Caenorhabditis elegans: one gene and its partner. The protein of the gene in region 2 purifies or fractionates together with the protein of the main gene of each other region. This does not show direct contact. Each region holds a gene or a part of one and is shown on either strand. Other genes may lie near its edges.

Region 1 (5,680 bases), on a different chromosome or scaffold from region 2:
CACTGGCAAAACCCACGGCTCTCCATCTTCCGTGCGATAAGCTTCTATTGCAAGATTTATTTTCACAGGGCAAATTTCTTTCTGGAAGAGTTCCGATGTATGGAGCTCTTTGATTGGCGAAGCAACATGAATTCCATCAAAGAAAGATAGCCGCATATTTTAACTGAAATTTATTTGCTGTTTAAGCTTAGATAACATTAACCCTTAGCCTAAGATGGACAAAAAAGTCACGTAAAACTATGTATAAGAATGGCCACCATTTCTGGGTCAGTTGAACTACACAAGTACCAAAAGTTGAATAGTTCCATGCATAACACGAAATAGAAAAATGGGAGTTTTTTGGAGCAGGTGGCGATAAGAAAACGAAATTTTAATTTATAGCTGACGTTGAAAAAAACTCTTGAACTCAGAAAGTGCAAGAAACAAAATTTCTGGGACTGCAAATTCAGTACATTTTATACTTTGACTATAAAACATTTTTGTAGCTCACTGTCTTCTGAAAAAAAGAACTGGGAGTACTTTTTTTCCTTAGCGCAATCCTGTTTATATACGGTTGCAAAAATCGTTATAGCGTTCGCAACATGGTAATTTTGTTCAAGAATCAAAAAACTGCGGTACTAAGTTTTTTTTTTTTTTAGTTTATTTTTTTTTAGTTTTTTTATTTTTTTAAATTTATTTAGTTTAACTATGTAAAGTTTTTCTGTTCGTTTGAAAATGAATTTGTGTTCCTGATTACTTCCTGGCACGTATTCACATTTTCATGGTGAATCGAGTCTGGTGAAGATGGGCGTACCCACGGTTCGACATGTTGCTGGAATTCTCGTGCTTTTTGAAAAATGAATATGCCGTTCTATTAATTTTGTAACCCCGTAACAAATGAAAACCGTTTTGTAACGGGGTTTCTTAGTAATAATATTGGGTATAAGTACAACAATAACAACCATAATAACAATATAATAATAATAATAATAACAATAACAATAATAAGTACAACCGCTTGATAATTGAGTTTGCCATTTTTAGAGCAATGGAAAATATTACATTGTCATTTTCTATTTATTAATTGTTATGATCAAATAAAACCTTTTTCATCCTTCCCATATTCATTGGTAATGATTACTCTATTTTTTTCCATAAAACAACTACTTGATGAACGATGTTACGGCGAAACACGAAGGTTCGAAAAAAACTAAGACAGCTTAAAGTGCATTGCAATAAAAAATGATTTATCACTTGATTGACGTTGATAAGAAAATAGAAGCCTACCTCAACTTTGAATACTCCGGGAAATGAAGTTCGTGTAGATGAGAATGCGAAAGTTTGACGTGGTCAGTTATAGAATTAAATCAGTTTTTCAAACTGTAGTAACAAATATTAACAGCTGCTCGAAAAAAAGTTTTTAAACATGGTGCCAGGTGGTCAGTAATACACTGTATTTTGAAGCATATGACAGAAGTTGAAACACTTTTTTTTCAATTAACTACAAGAAAATTACAAAAATAAAATAAAGCCTAGTGATGATTAGTATTTGCACCATATATCATAATTGCTTGAACAGAAAACATTGTTCATAAATCCCCGCAATTTTTTAACTGTCTTTCACACTCCGGGTCATCGAAGTTTGCAAGACGTAAGCTTTTCAGGTAATGGAACACTGATGTATCCTTACCTGTACACGTGATTTCAGAAAGTTGGAGAGCCGTTTTTGAATTGGTGCTCCGTTCAAATTGACTCTAAAAGTTATTCACGAAATCCACATATAGTTGAATGTTTTTTTAGTATTGTGGAATAATTTTAAAACAATTATTCTAAATACTAGAGAACCATTTTTAGTACAAAACTGATTATTTTATCCCATCCCGTTGTACAACGTAACAGAAAAGCATAATTTGAAAGTTTCTCGGAGCACACTTTCAATCCAATGAACTGTAAAGAAAATTGTTGTAACAAGATTTTTCTCAAATTTTGCCACATGACTTCGAGGAGACTGAAAAATTTTAACCAAATCGACAGGTGTCTAAACAATAGATAGATGGCAAATATTCTTAATCTAAACTTGGGGTGACCAGAATTACAAACTTTGTAACAAAATGTCGTAGACTTTTCGCACAACAGTTTTAGTTTTATTTTTGTTCCGGCAATTCTGATGTTCCTCTTGCTTCCATATGCCAAAAATCCGCTGCTTCATGCATTATGGCAGTGTATCCATAATTGTCGCGGTTAGGAGCGAATATTTTATGAAATAGTTCCCCAAGTAAACGTCCACATCACACGGATAATAATAGCAATGATTCATTTTCCATTCAAGAAAAAAAAGTAATCGGGTTAAAATAAATAAAAGTACACACGGGAAATTAAAACTAAGTGCATAGAAATACTCAATCTACACTTAATGCTCAAACTTGAAGAGCACAAAAACTCAATTTTTCACATAAAATTCATAAATTTCAAAGCTTTAGATGTTGCTCTTCACGGCACGCACAGTCTCATCAATCGCCTTGGCGACATATTCCACGTTTTTCGTGTTAAGACCACAAATGTTGATGCGGCCGTCTCTGAGCAGGAATACTTTGTGATTGGCAATCAGGTGATCCACTTGGGCAGCTGAAAATTAAGATTGTCCTCATCAGAGTGTTAAAAAAAGCAAACTCACAAGTAAGTCCGGTGTAGCTGAACATTCCAATTTGTTGAATGATGTGATCCCAAGTTCCAGGAGTGCCAAGATCCATCAAATGGCGCAATAAGGCGGCTCTCATCTGCTTGATACGAGAAGACATCGCTTGAATAGACTGGTTCCATTGTTCACGGCGAGCTGGGGTGGTGAGCACCTTGTGCACAATTCTTGCTCCATGTGCTGGTGGATTGGACCAGTTGGCACGGATAACCAACGACATTTGAGACTGGAATCCGGCAATGACAGCTGGATTGTTGACGACGACAGTAAGGTTTCCGACACGCTCGTCTGAAATTTTGAAGTATTTTACTTTTCATCTTCTATTCAAAACTTACTGTAAAGTCCAAAGTTCTTGGCAAATGATTGGGACACAACCATCTCCATTCCCTGGTCTACAAAGTAGCGGATCGCCCAGGCGTCCGCAGCTGGATCACCAGATGCGAATCCTTGGTAAGCAATGTCAAAGAAGGTGAAGAGGTTCTTTCTCTTGATCACCTCGGCAACCAACTTCCATTGCTCCTGAGTTGGGTCCATTCCAGTTGGGTTGTGAGCACATCCGTGAAGAATGATGACAGACTTCTCTGGGGCTGACTCAAGATCGGAGAGGAACTTCTCAATGTGCACACGTTTGTTATCATAGTCCCAGAAGGTGTAGTCGGCGACGGTGGTGAAACCAGCCTTCTTGAAGACAAGCTTGTGATTTCCCCTGAAAATGATAAAAATTCATGATTTGATGAATTTCGCCCAGCATTATCAGAGGTTCAGGAAAAGTACCTTACACCTCTTTGAAAGAGCCTTGCTGAAACTCATTTTTTACCTAGATTACCTAGGTTTATGGTAATACTGCCAAGAATTGGGCGGCTATTTTAAGAAGTTGAAGTTCTGGTTGACTGCTACTCACTCTGGCCAATACAAGACTTGTTATATTTTATCAGATAAGTATGTTTGGCTCCGATTTTTCGACCACTTACCATGTTGGGTTGCTCACGTAGACGGTCTTCATGTTACACACTGAAGCAAGAAACTCGGCTCCAGCACGAAGAGCTCCGGTTCCAGAGAGACACTGTACTCCAAACGATCTTTCCTCCTTGATAGCTGGCGATTCGGCTCCGAGGACAAGCTCGGTGGCAGCCTTGCGGAAACCCTCGTGACCGAGAACTGGAAGATACTCGTGATTGAGCGAGGTGTCGTTGGCGATTTCGACTTCAGTCTCATGAACGACTGGAAGCACCCATGGCTGTCCCTCCTCTGTGCGGTAGGCTCCAATTGTCAGGTTAACTTTGACGGGAGCCGTCTCATCGAGGTACATCTTGTTCTTGTGGAACACCTCGATTGGTGGAGCAACTGGGATTCCGTCAAAGAAGGACATGTTGAGTGTTGTTTCTGGAATTAAAAAAAATCAATAAGTTTAGTTATAGAAATTGAAGAGATGAAAAGAGTGGCGGTATGCCGCAAAACGCGATAATGAGGTGTATTTATATAGCGAAAGAGATCAAAATCGAAAAATGACCACGTTAAAAGGAGGTCACCTCATCGACATTCGAGAGGATTTACTTGGAAACAAAAAACGTTTTAGGTGTTTCCAATAAAAATCGATTTGATGATAAAAATTATTATACGATAAGAAACGTAAAACTTTCTACTTTCTTATTTTAGCACTCAAGAAATCAACAGAAACGTGTGTTGATAAGACTACGGGCCCAGTTTCAAGACTGAACTAGATGGTTACTTTCTATTGCACCAAAGTCGACAGTTCACAACAAAAGTTACAGGAAATTTTGCCTAGTTTTCGGACAAATTGAGGAAAGGGGGTCTCAAAAACGGACTGCCTCTTCTCGACAACTCTTTCTCGTCGGCCCGCCCTCCAATAAGCACACACTATTTCCGAGAAAACAACACATGCGGGTAGAAAACGAGAGGCAGCGTTGTTGTTTGCCAGAGACGTTTTTCGAGACGTGACCATTTTGAAAATTTTTATTTCGAGGAAAACGTGATGGCAAGGTGGAGAGAACGGGCAAAACGCAGCGCAATGAGATCGAAATGTGTCATTTGTGAGGGTTTCAAAGTGTTCTTTGATAAGGCAAATTACTTTTTTGAAAATTGAAAAAAAAGATTGGATATTTATCTAGGTTAATGTAATAAGATCCTAGGAATAAATGAAATTATATCAAAATTCCCTCACCAAAAATGAAAAACTATTTTTTTTTTTGAAATTTTCTAGTGGAAGTTTTCTTCTGTTTTTGCCTATAGAAAAACCTTGAAAGAGCTGATTTTTTCAAAATCCCTTTACAAAAGGAATCAAGGTTAACCTATACAACTACCTCGTGAACTTCAAAGATTCAAAAACCAAACGACCACTTCAAAAATTATTGGCAAAATGACCTTTTGAAATGAGTGATGGTGCGAAACCGCCTAGATAAATAAATATAACAATCTCACGTGGCCAGGCGGAAAAACATGTTTATGTAAATTTTCGAAACGAAAAATAATCGGTTTTCTTTTTGGGGTGATGATGGCGGGACATGATGAAAAGAAATGGAACAGTATACACGAGAAAATCCAAGTTGCTGGGTATTTAGAAATATGGATGAGAACTAAACAACATTCCGCCCGGTAAACGCCTTTGAATGAATGAGAAGTAAAAATGAAAAAAAATCACAGAAAAATATTCACCGTAATGAGAATTTGCATACAAGATTTCCGGTAGAAAGAAGGGTGAGAGAAGAGGTAAAGAAAAAGGCGATAAGAGGCGCCTCCGGGCCGCCTTAAAGCCTCAATTCTACGTGGCGAAGTTCTCAACAAAGTTTTGTAAAATTTACGACAACTAAAAATTTTTTCAGCACATTCTGATTTATTATTTTAGTCACCGACTTTAATGGGTGGCCTTTAATGATTTTGAAGTTAATTTGAAAATTTTTAAAATCAATAAAGATGAACATGGACATGGATTTTTCACAAAACTAACAATTAAGAGGCAACAAAAACAAACATAATGATAGTTGTTAG
Region 2 (7,847 bases):
ATGAAACATGCATTTAGAAGTTTTTTTTTTCAGAAAACAAAGCTTTGGAAACTTGAGAAAAGAATCATCTCCATAAAGTCTAATATAGGGTCCAAGAAATCTCTTTGTTATATTTCATGACTTCCTTGTTCAGACGTGTAACTTTATTGTTGTACCAAGAGATCATGTGACAGATGACATTTTTCTAGTTTTTCTGAAAGCAGGGAAGTGCCAGAGTGTAAGGGAAAACTACAAATAGCTCGTAGTTTCTTATTAGTGAGTTGGCATATGTTACCTTTTATTTTTCGCATTAAATTTTTCTGAACACCATTACTTCCAGACTACTGACCATCAAAATTCATTCATCAACGAGTAGTGAGTAATATTTATGTATAAAATGAGCTTAGGTGTAGACTGCTTTTATTTTTGTACATGCATAATACGGTACGGTTCACATTATAGCATGCTTCTGCTCGGTTCAGTGAATTTTCAAAGCTAACAGTACCGTCATCAACTCTAAGATCATCAAACCGCTCGGAAGATTCGTTTTAATATTGTAATTTAGGACTACATAAATATCTTACAGAATCAAGTTTTGAAATTACGCCAACCATAACGATTTAATAATCTTTGCAAGAAACTTACTAAAAAATTTAGGAACCAATTGTAAAAACGAAGCATGCGAGAAATTTGATGAGGTTAAACATCAAATGAATGCTCTTGCTGAAGAAACACGTAGCAGCTCACAATATGCGTAAGATCAAATGATGGGATATCATAAGTAAAACAAGCAGAGCATATATAAACATATTCAAAAGATCATAGGTAAGTTAAGATCGTAGGCAATCATTGAATAAGAACACATGGAAAAAATAAGTATAAATACTACTATTTTCTTCCAAACTCTTCAAAATCACATCATCATAAAGGTCATCAGTGGGGATTTTCATAAACACTTTTTCGAAATAATCGAATTTTGTAAATTTTGTAAATTTTAAGTTTTGAGTTTGAAAAATCCAAATATCCTGGTTAAACAATTTACAAAATTTGTACTTTTTTTTCGACTACAAAAAATATCCTAAATGCTTTCGTTTTTAAAATGTCCAGTCAAATTGCCAAATTTTTGAAAAATTTGGACTTTTGAAAAACCCTCAAGAGTGTCTCTAGAATTTTTAGATATAAATAATGTAAAACATTATAAGAATATAACATTTACAGAAATGTTTTTAAAAAATATACTCTTGCCGACTTGATAAATCAAAACGCCACTTTTTGACTGTCATTTAGACTAATATTACATGGTTTACAACGATATATGGCCACGTCAAAATCAAAAGAGTACTTTTAACATTTTTCACAATATCTAAGCTATACCTTTGAGCAATCTGTACATATTCAGCTGTTCACTTACTAGTAAAAGTCATGAATAAAACTATTTGCATAAGGGCAATTTATTTTCACATGAACATATTTTTTTCCATTCCCATGTTCCGATAGTCAACTTCATATTCTCAACCAACTATTCCCATTTTCCTCTTCTGCTATTTCAACCATCAATGATTTTTCCTGTATTTCTTCTAGTTTCCATTATTTTTCCACTCATCTTCTGCCAATGCCGTGATCTTCATCCAAACTGTGATTTGTTCAAAACTCTTGATCTTTGTACATCAGTTAGTTCTCAAAAAGCAATCATGAAATACAATTGTGCGTCTTCTTGTGGATTTTGTGGAAAGCAAGCCGGAAGTTGTGTGGATCGTTTGTCAAACTGTGCCGATTATAAATCTTCAGGACTTTGTGAAACTGATGATAAGCTACGTATTGAATATGCTTGCCCAGTTACTTGTAATGTTTGTTCTACTCCTGTATAATCATTCAATTACTTTGAGAAAAAACCATGAAAAATTAATATCAATAAAGTTAATGTACAAAAAAACATTTAAAGCTTGGCTGAAGAACGATCTCTCAAGAATCGTCTCAAAATCTTTCCAGCTGCGGACTTTGGAATTTCTTCAATAAATTCGACACCACCTTCGAGTTGTTTGTAAGGAGACACTTTTGCTGAAAGTATTATAGTTATACAGAAAATGCACTATTCATAACTTACGTTTAACAAAGTCCTTAACTTCTTGTTCAGTGAGAGTGTTATCAGCTCTTACAACAAATGCTTTAGGTAATTCTCCAGCTTTAGCATCTGGGATTCCAATAACTGCACAATCTCTAATCTTTGGATGAGATAGAAGAAGATCTTCAAGTTCAGCTGGTGGTACTTGAAGCCCTTTGACCTTGATTAGCTCTTTAAGTCGATCAACAATAAACAAATTTCCATCCTCATTGAGATAACCAATGTCTCCAGTGTGAAGCCATCCATCGATGACAGTGCTGGCTGTTGCTTCTGGTCTTCCGAGATACCCAAGCATAATTGTTGGACCACGAACACAAATTTCTCCTCGTTGGTTAACCGGTTGCTCTCTGTCGGTTCCTGGTTCCACAATCTGAATAACTTTTGTATAAATTGAATACTTTTGTTTCCTTTTAAACATTGAAAAACTTGATTCGGAAATTCTCACCTTCATAACCAAATTTGAAGCAAGTTTTCCAACGGATCCATATGGTTGATCATTTCTTAAATCAGGAAGATGACTAGCCATTGAACATTCCGTCATTCCATATCCTTGTTGGATGTATTTCAAATTTGTATACTTCCTCTTCAATTCTTCAATCAAATCCTTTCCAGCTGGAGCTGCTCCCGCCATTATCATTTGCACTGATGATAGATCAAACTTATCGCAAATTGGATGCTTGGCCAAGAAAACCATAATTGGTGGAACTAGGCAAAGACAGCGGACCTAAAGAATTAAATTAAAAATGTTATTTATGAACTTTTGATTCTATACTTTGTAGTTTTGAACGGCAGTCAAAAAATTATTCGGCTCAAAATGGCTCATGACAATTCCAGTCATTCCCTTGAGAAGACAGTGATTAAGAAGACCAAATCCATAGACATGATAGAATGGAAGAAACAAGAGAGCTTTCTCATTGTAGCAGTCCCAATTTGGATCAAGAACATCCAAAATGTGTGATTTATCAATTCTGAAAGTTGTGTCGTATATGAACCTAATTATATTTTCGTTTTTTTTCAATTACTTTTCAAAAAATGTACATAACGTTATACTGATTCTTCTGTATTGATCTATGAAATTGTTTTCTTGGCCCTTATCTTTTTTTGCGTCATAGGAAGGTTAAAGTGTAACCATTTTACTGTTAACTTTGTACTTTCACACCTATTCTGTCTCATCATCATCATCTTTAAATTTCAAACTTACGCAAGATACATGGAGATCATGGATGTAAAATTGTAGTGTGATAGCATAACACCCTTTGGTGGTCCAGTGGTACCACTCGAGTATGGAAGAACGAGTAAATCATTGTGAACATCAATTGGAACTTGTGGTAGAGCAGTGACTGGAGTTGAAACCACTTCATTCCAAGATACAACTCCTGCTGGAAGAGAAGATCCAACTGGTTTTGGGATGACAATGATCTTTTGGATGTTTGGCGATTGCTTCACAGCAAGAAGAACTTTTGGAAGAAAATCTTCGTAAGTAAAAACAACCTTTGCGCGAGAATCAACAAATTGACGTTGAAGCTCATCTGAAAACAGAAATTGCGGGTTGGTGAAAGTAACTTTCATCAATTTAACTTACAGTCAGTGAAAAGTGCACTAGCTCCAGATACAGCTCCACCGTTGATGGCACATCCAATGAAAAATGAAGTATAGTGCCAGACGTTTGGAAGAACAACAGCAGCAACATCTTTCTAAAAGATATCAAAAATTTAAGGCATTGTCTTGAACAAATTGAAAGATTTTTGAAATACTTCCTTTCTCTTGTTGAATTATAAAATTCCCAAATTTTTAACATAATGCCACATACCTTGAACCCAATGCTATGAAGATACATAGCGACAGCAAAAGCATCCTTACGAAGTTGTTCAAAAGTAATGAAATGTTTTGGATTATCTCCGCTCACAAATGCAATTTTATTCTTTCCATCGGCAATTGTTTTATCAATTGCATCAAGGAGCATCTCATGGTACGGACGCTCGGAAATCTTCACTGGTGGATATGTAGAGTCGTGTGGCATGGCTGAAGTTTGAAAAATAAATGAATTTAGCAATAACAATCAAAATATAAGAACTGGGCAAGAGGACAGCATGGGTAGCCTACAGTGTGGCCGAAGGTCAATTTAGAAAAAGATAGAGACTGATAAAGACGACAGTTGATAATAGTAAATAGGAAAACTACAGTGCTTAGACGTTATAATGTGGTCCATTTATTGTAGTCTTTGTTTTTTGGCAATTTATAACATTGATTCAACTGTTGAGGAAAAACCGTTAGAAAATTAAAAAAAAAACCACATGAGCGCGGGAAATACTTATCATTTCAGTTTCCGATGCTCATAATCCTAGACAATTTCAGTTAATACTCAATGAAGACAACGAAAGAAAAAGAATAAATGTACACAAAAAGGGCATATTAATGATAAGGGTTGCAAAACGAAAAATGGGCTATGAACAATAAAATAAAAGATCTGTAATCGTAATCAGATGTTTTTAAAGATCTGAAACTTGGATTGTACGTCATTGATCATATTAAAAAGATGCTCAAAACAAGGAAGTACTGGCCAAATTTCAACAATCAAAGTTCTCGTGACGATTTGACAGTAAAAAATGAGGTATTGTGAACATTTTCTAAATTATAGTTTTTTTCCAACCGAGAAGTTATTTTAAGTTATTATTTTCAATCTTCCCCATCAAATTTAAAAACAACCCCTTTGAAAATTACGGCTAAAAGGCATTTATTATTTTTCTGCTAAAAAATTTTCGGAATGAGTTAACGTTTTTTTTTCTAATGAAATAGAAATCATACTAAAAATAGTTATGTAAACTAACTACAAAACAAAAATTGGATTCTTTGTATTTTTAACCAATTTTACAGTTTTTACAGTGACATAATTTCCTGAAACGAACAACGAGGTCTGAAAGTACAAATTTTCTGAAGCTTTGAAGAACATGATGGTTTTGCTGAACCGACAGCGTGTGTTACACGAGACATTTGACATCGATGATAATGAAACGGAATTGATGTTATCAGTTGGCCACGATTGCATGTCATTCATTTTGTTATAAATCAAAATTGAAATTACATTTTGGAATAAAGATAGAAATATTGAAAAAAGCATTCATTCAATCAGCCTATATGGAAATTGACTTTTACAAAATTGAAAAAAAAAATTATGCTGGCATTCTGATGGTGATAGCAAATCCTCCTTTGACATTAAGAAGACACCTAAAACAAAATTATTTCAAAGAACCTATAATTCCGTATTCTTACTTTGTGTTCGGTTTTATCCTAACCATGGTCTCCGATTTCATTGCATAAGTGAACCCGCTCTCTTCTACGACCGCAAATGTGTTTTCCTAAATGATACATGAATTTTTTTTGGGATTTTTCTGTTTTTGCCATACCTGCAACCAAATTAGCAACTCTACAGTTCCACTTTCCAAATCATAAGATCCCTCTCCTAGCAACATAACTTCAGTTTTGTACTCAGGTGCTCCATAAATTCTCACTGGTCCGTTTCTGAAAACTTCTCAAATTAACTATCCGAAACAAAACCAACTAATTTCTTACTTCACTTCACTGATATGATCATAGATAAATTCTTTTCTATTAATAGGTACGGGTAAATCAGTCCATCTTGCTTCGTATGGAGCATTGCATGCAAATGTTCCTTTTCCTGGTTTACCTGAAACAAAAAATCGGTGAGCTCACACAACTACAAACCAACCAGTTTTGAATTCATTCGATCCATAAAATTCTTTGATTAATGGAGGTAAATCCTTGACAACATCAGTCAAATAGAACCATCTTTCAAAGAGTGTGATATTGGAAGAACCAACAAGAAATCGAACACAATCAAATTCAGTATTCTTTCGTTCACGTTCAACGACAAGACCAATAGAGTTGGAAAATCTTTGAGGTGAATGTTCTACTCTTGCTGGCAACATGAACATTTCCCCTGAAAAATAGAGAGCTCAATTTTGAGTTTTGATTCAGATTATCTAACATTTGTGAAAAAAATAATTCCAAAAAATTTTTGACAACACAGATTTAGTTTCCGTTTATAAATTGTGAAAAATTCTCAATTTTCAGTCTAAATTTTTTGTTCATGGAATTTTAATTTAAAAAGCTAGTTAAAAAGTTATCTAAGAAACCATGTGAGTTTGTGTTATTAATTAATTAATTTACAAATTCAAAAATAAATTTTGTGATGAATCCTACCTTGCTTGATTACTAGATCACGGACTTGACCCTTTTCAATCACTTTCAGTACCATATCCCCTTTTCTCTGGAAGAAAAACTCTTCTCCTTCTTCCAAATGAAAATCTTTTCTTTGATTTGGTCCTCCAACGTAGAAAACTTTCAACTGATCCGAGAACATACACTTGTTACAAACAGGTGGTACAAAATCCTCTTGATTATCTTGAATCCATTGTGGAATCTCAATTGCAGTAACTCCGCTCATTGTTATCACAGGTGGTTCTGCCAGTTTGAGTTGAGGCTTCTGTTGCTCTTCGGTAGAAACGGAAGTCGTACAGACTACTTGCTCCTGATGCGAAATGAATAATTTAGTGGAGGTGAAGCAACTCATCGATTGACAAGGGAATTAGCTCAAGACGAATTGGTAGAGAACTGAGAGATCGGGTTGAAATTGAAAAAAGACTGGAATATATGAATGGCAAGTAAAAGTGACATTTTGACCTCTATAATTATCACAAGAAACGAGAAACGGACAATAAATCGTCGAGAAATACCAATACAAGGCGTTCTTGGGAACGCTTTGAAGTTCAAAGGAACAAAGCATTCGTACCCACCTATTACAAAGTTATGCATGAGAACACATTTTGTAAGTAGTCAAGTTGCCAAAAATTGATTTTAAGCCATAAAAATAATCCTCAGATGCCATAAAGAGAATATGAAAATTTACATAATTTTGAGAACGGCAGTGAGTGTGTTCAGGAATTGATACGATTATGAGCTAAGTACAGTAATCCCCAGATGAAAATTTCGAATTCAATAGAATGTTCAGAGAGTCTCTAAAAGGTTTGGATGTAATAAAAGAGATTAAGAATAGATAATATAATAAACGAATGACCTTCTTTCATATACACCAATTAATAATATAACCTGCCATTCTTCTTACCTTCAGTTTATATTTCTCATATAAATATTGCAGTTTATTGGGTTTTTTGGAACATAAGTTGACACATTCCATCTCCGAAACTTCTCTTTTTCTAACCTAAATTATAAAGCTAAAGTCATAGACGATCGAAGAATTTGTCAATTCGATTACAGTAACATAGACTAAATCACCCACAAAAAACCGAAATTTTTCAAAAAATTGTATGTGGTTGAGACAAAGCGGTGTTAATGTCCGATTAACGCGACGAAATGATAAACGTGCAATGTCACATCTTCTTAATTTCGCCCATCTTCTTCTTCTTATTTCCGTTTTTTGTGTCTTTTTTACATTTTTCTTATTCTCGTATCTAAATCTCCGTGATTTGCTTATTCTTCGCTGATTCAAGTGTCGCTTTTCAATTCTTGATTAATGATAAATGTTTGACCGTCTTAAGGAACTGGTACCCGTTTATTTCGAAAAATTGAGAATTGGGAGTGGGAGGAGGAGAGAGAAGCAACATTAAATTGGTGTTGGAGAGAAAATTGATAGAAAACCTGAGATGCTTTGACCAAAACACGAAGCATTCTGGGTTACATGACTGTTGGAATTGGTGACGATTTCAAA

Evidence for each region. Proteins that work in one complex are often made in the same cells at the same time.
Region 1: the proteins of acs-14 (region 2) and got-1.2 fractionate together in Caenorhabditis elegans (co-fractionation; one large-scale study listed by BioGRID). This does not show direct contact.

Annotation. Positions count from the first base shown.
Region 1 is NC_003284.9:16,789,070-16,794,749, forward strand, and holds got-1.2 (Aspartate aminotransferase, cytoplasmic), read right to left. Parts: upstream 4,058-5,680; 5' UTR 4,044-4,057; coding exon 3,646-4,043; intron 3,458-3,645; exon of another isoform or gene 3,381-3,457; coding exon 3,010-3,380; exon of another isoform or gene 2,963-3,009; coding exon 2,654-2,962; intron 2,605-2,653; coding exon 2,456-2,604; 3' UTR 2,278-2,455; downstream 1-2,277. UniProt on the Caenorhabditis elegans protein: Biosynthesis of L-glutamate from L-aspartate. Important regulator of levels of glutamate, the major excitatory neurotransmitter of the central nervous system.
Region 2 is NC_003283.11:9,504,408-9,512,254, reverse strand, and holds acs-14 (4-coumarate--CoA ligase), read right to left. Parts: upstream 4,124-7,847; 5' UTR 4,122-4,123; coding exon 3,912-4,121; intron 3,796-3,911; coding exon 3,684-3,795; intron 3,631-3,683; coding exon 3,303-3,630; intron 3,070-3,302; coding exon 2,874-3,069; intron 2,826-2,873; coding exon 2,547-2,825; intron 2,472-2,546; coding exon 2,084-2,471; intron 2,038-2,083; coding exon 1,916-2,037; 3' UTR 1,877-1,915; downstream 1-1,876. Other genes in the region: haao-1 (3-hydroxyanthranilate 3,4-dioxygenase), read right to left, coding at 5,272-5,326, 5,372-5,457, 5,506-5,620, 5,672-5,786, 5,829-6,059, 6,323-6,566; swt-5 (Sugar transporter SWEET), read right to left, coding at 7,814-7,847.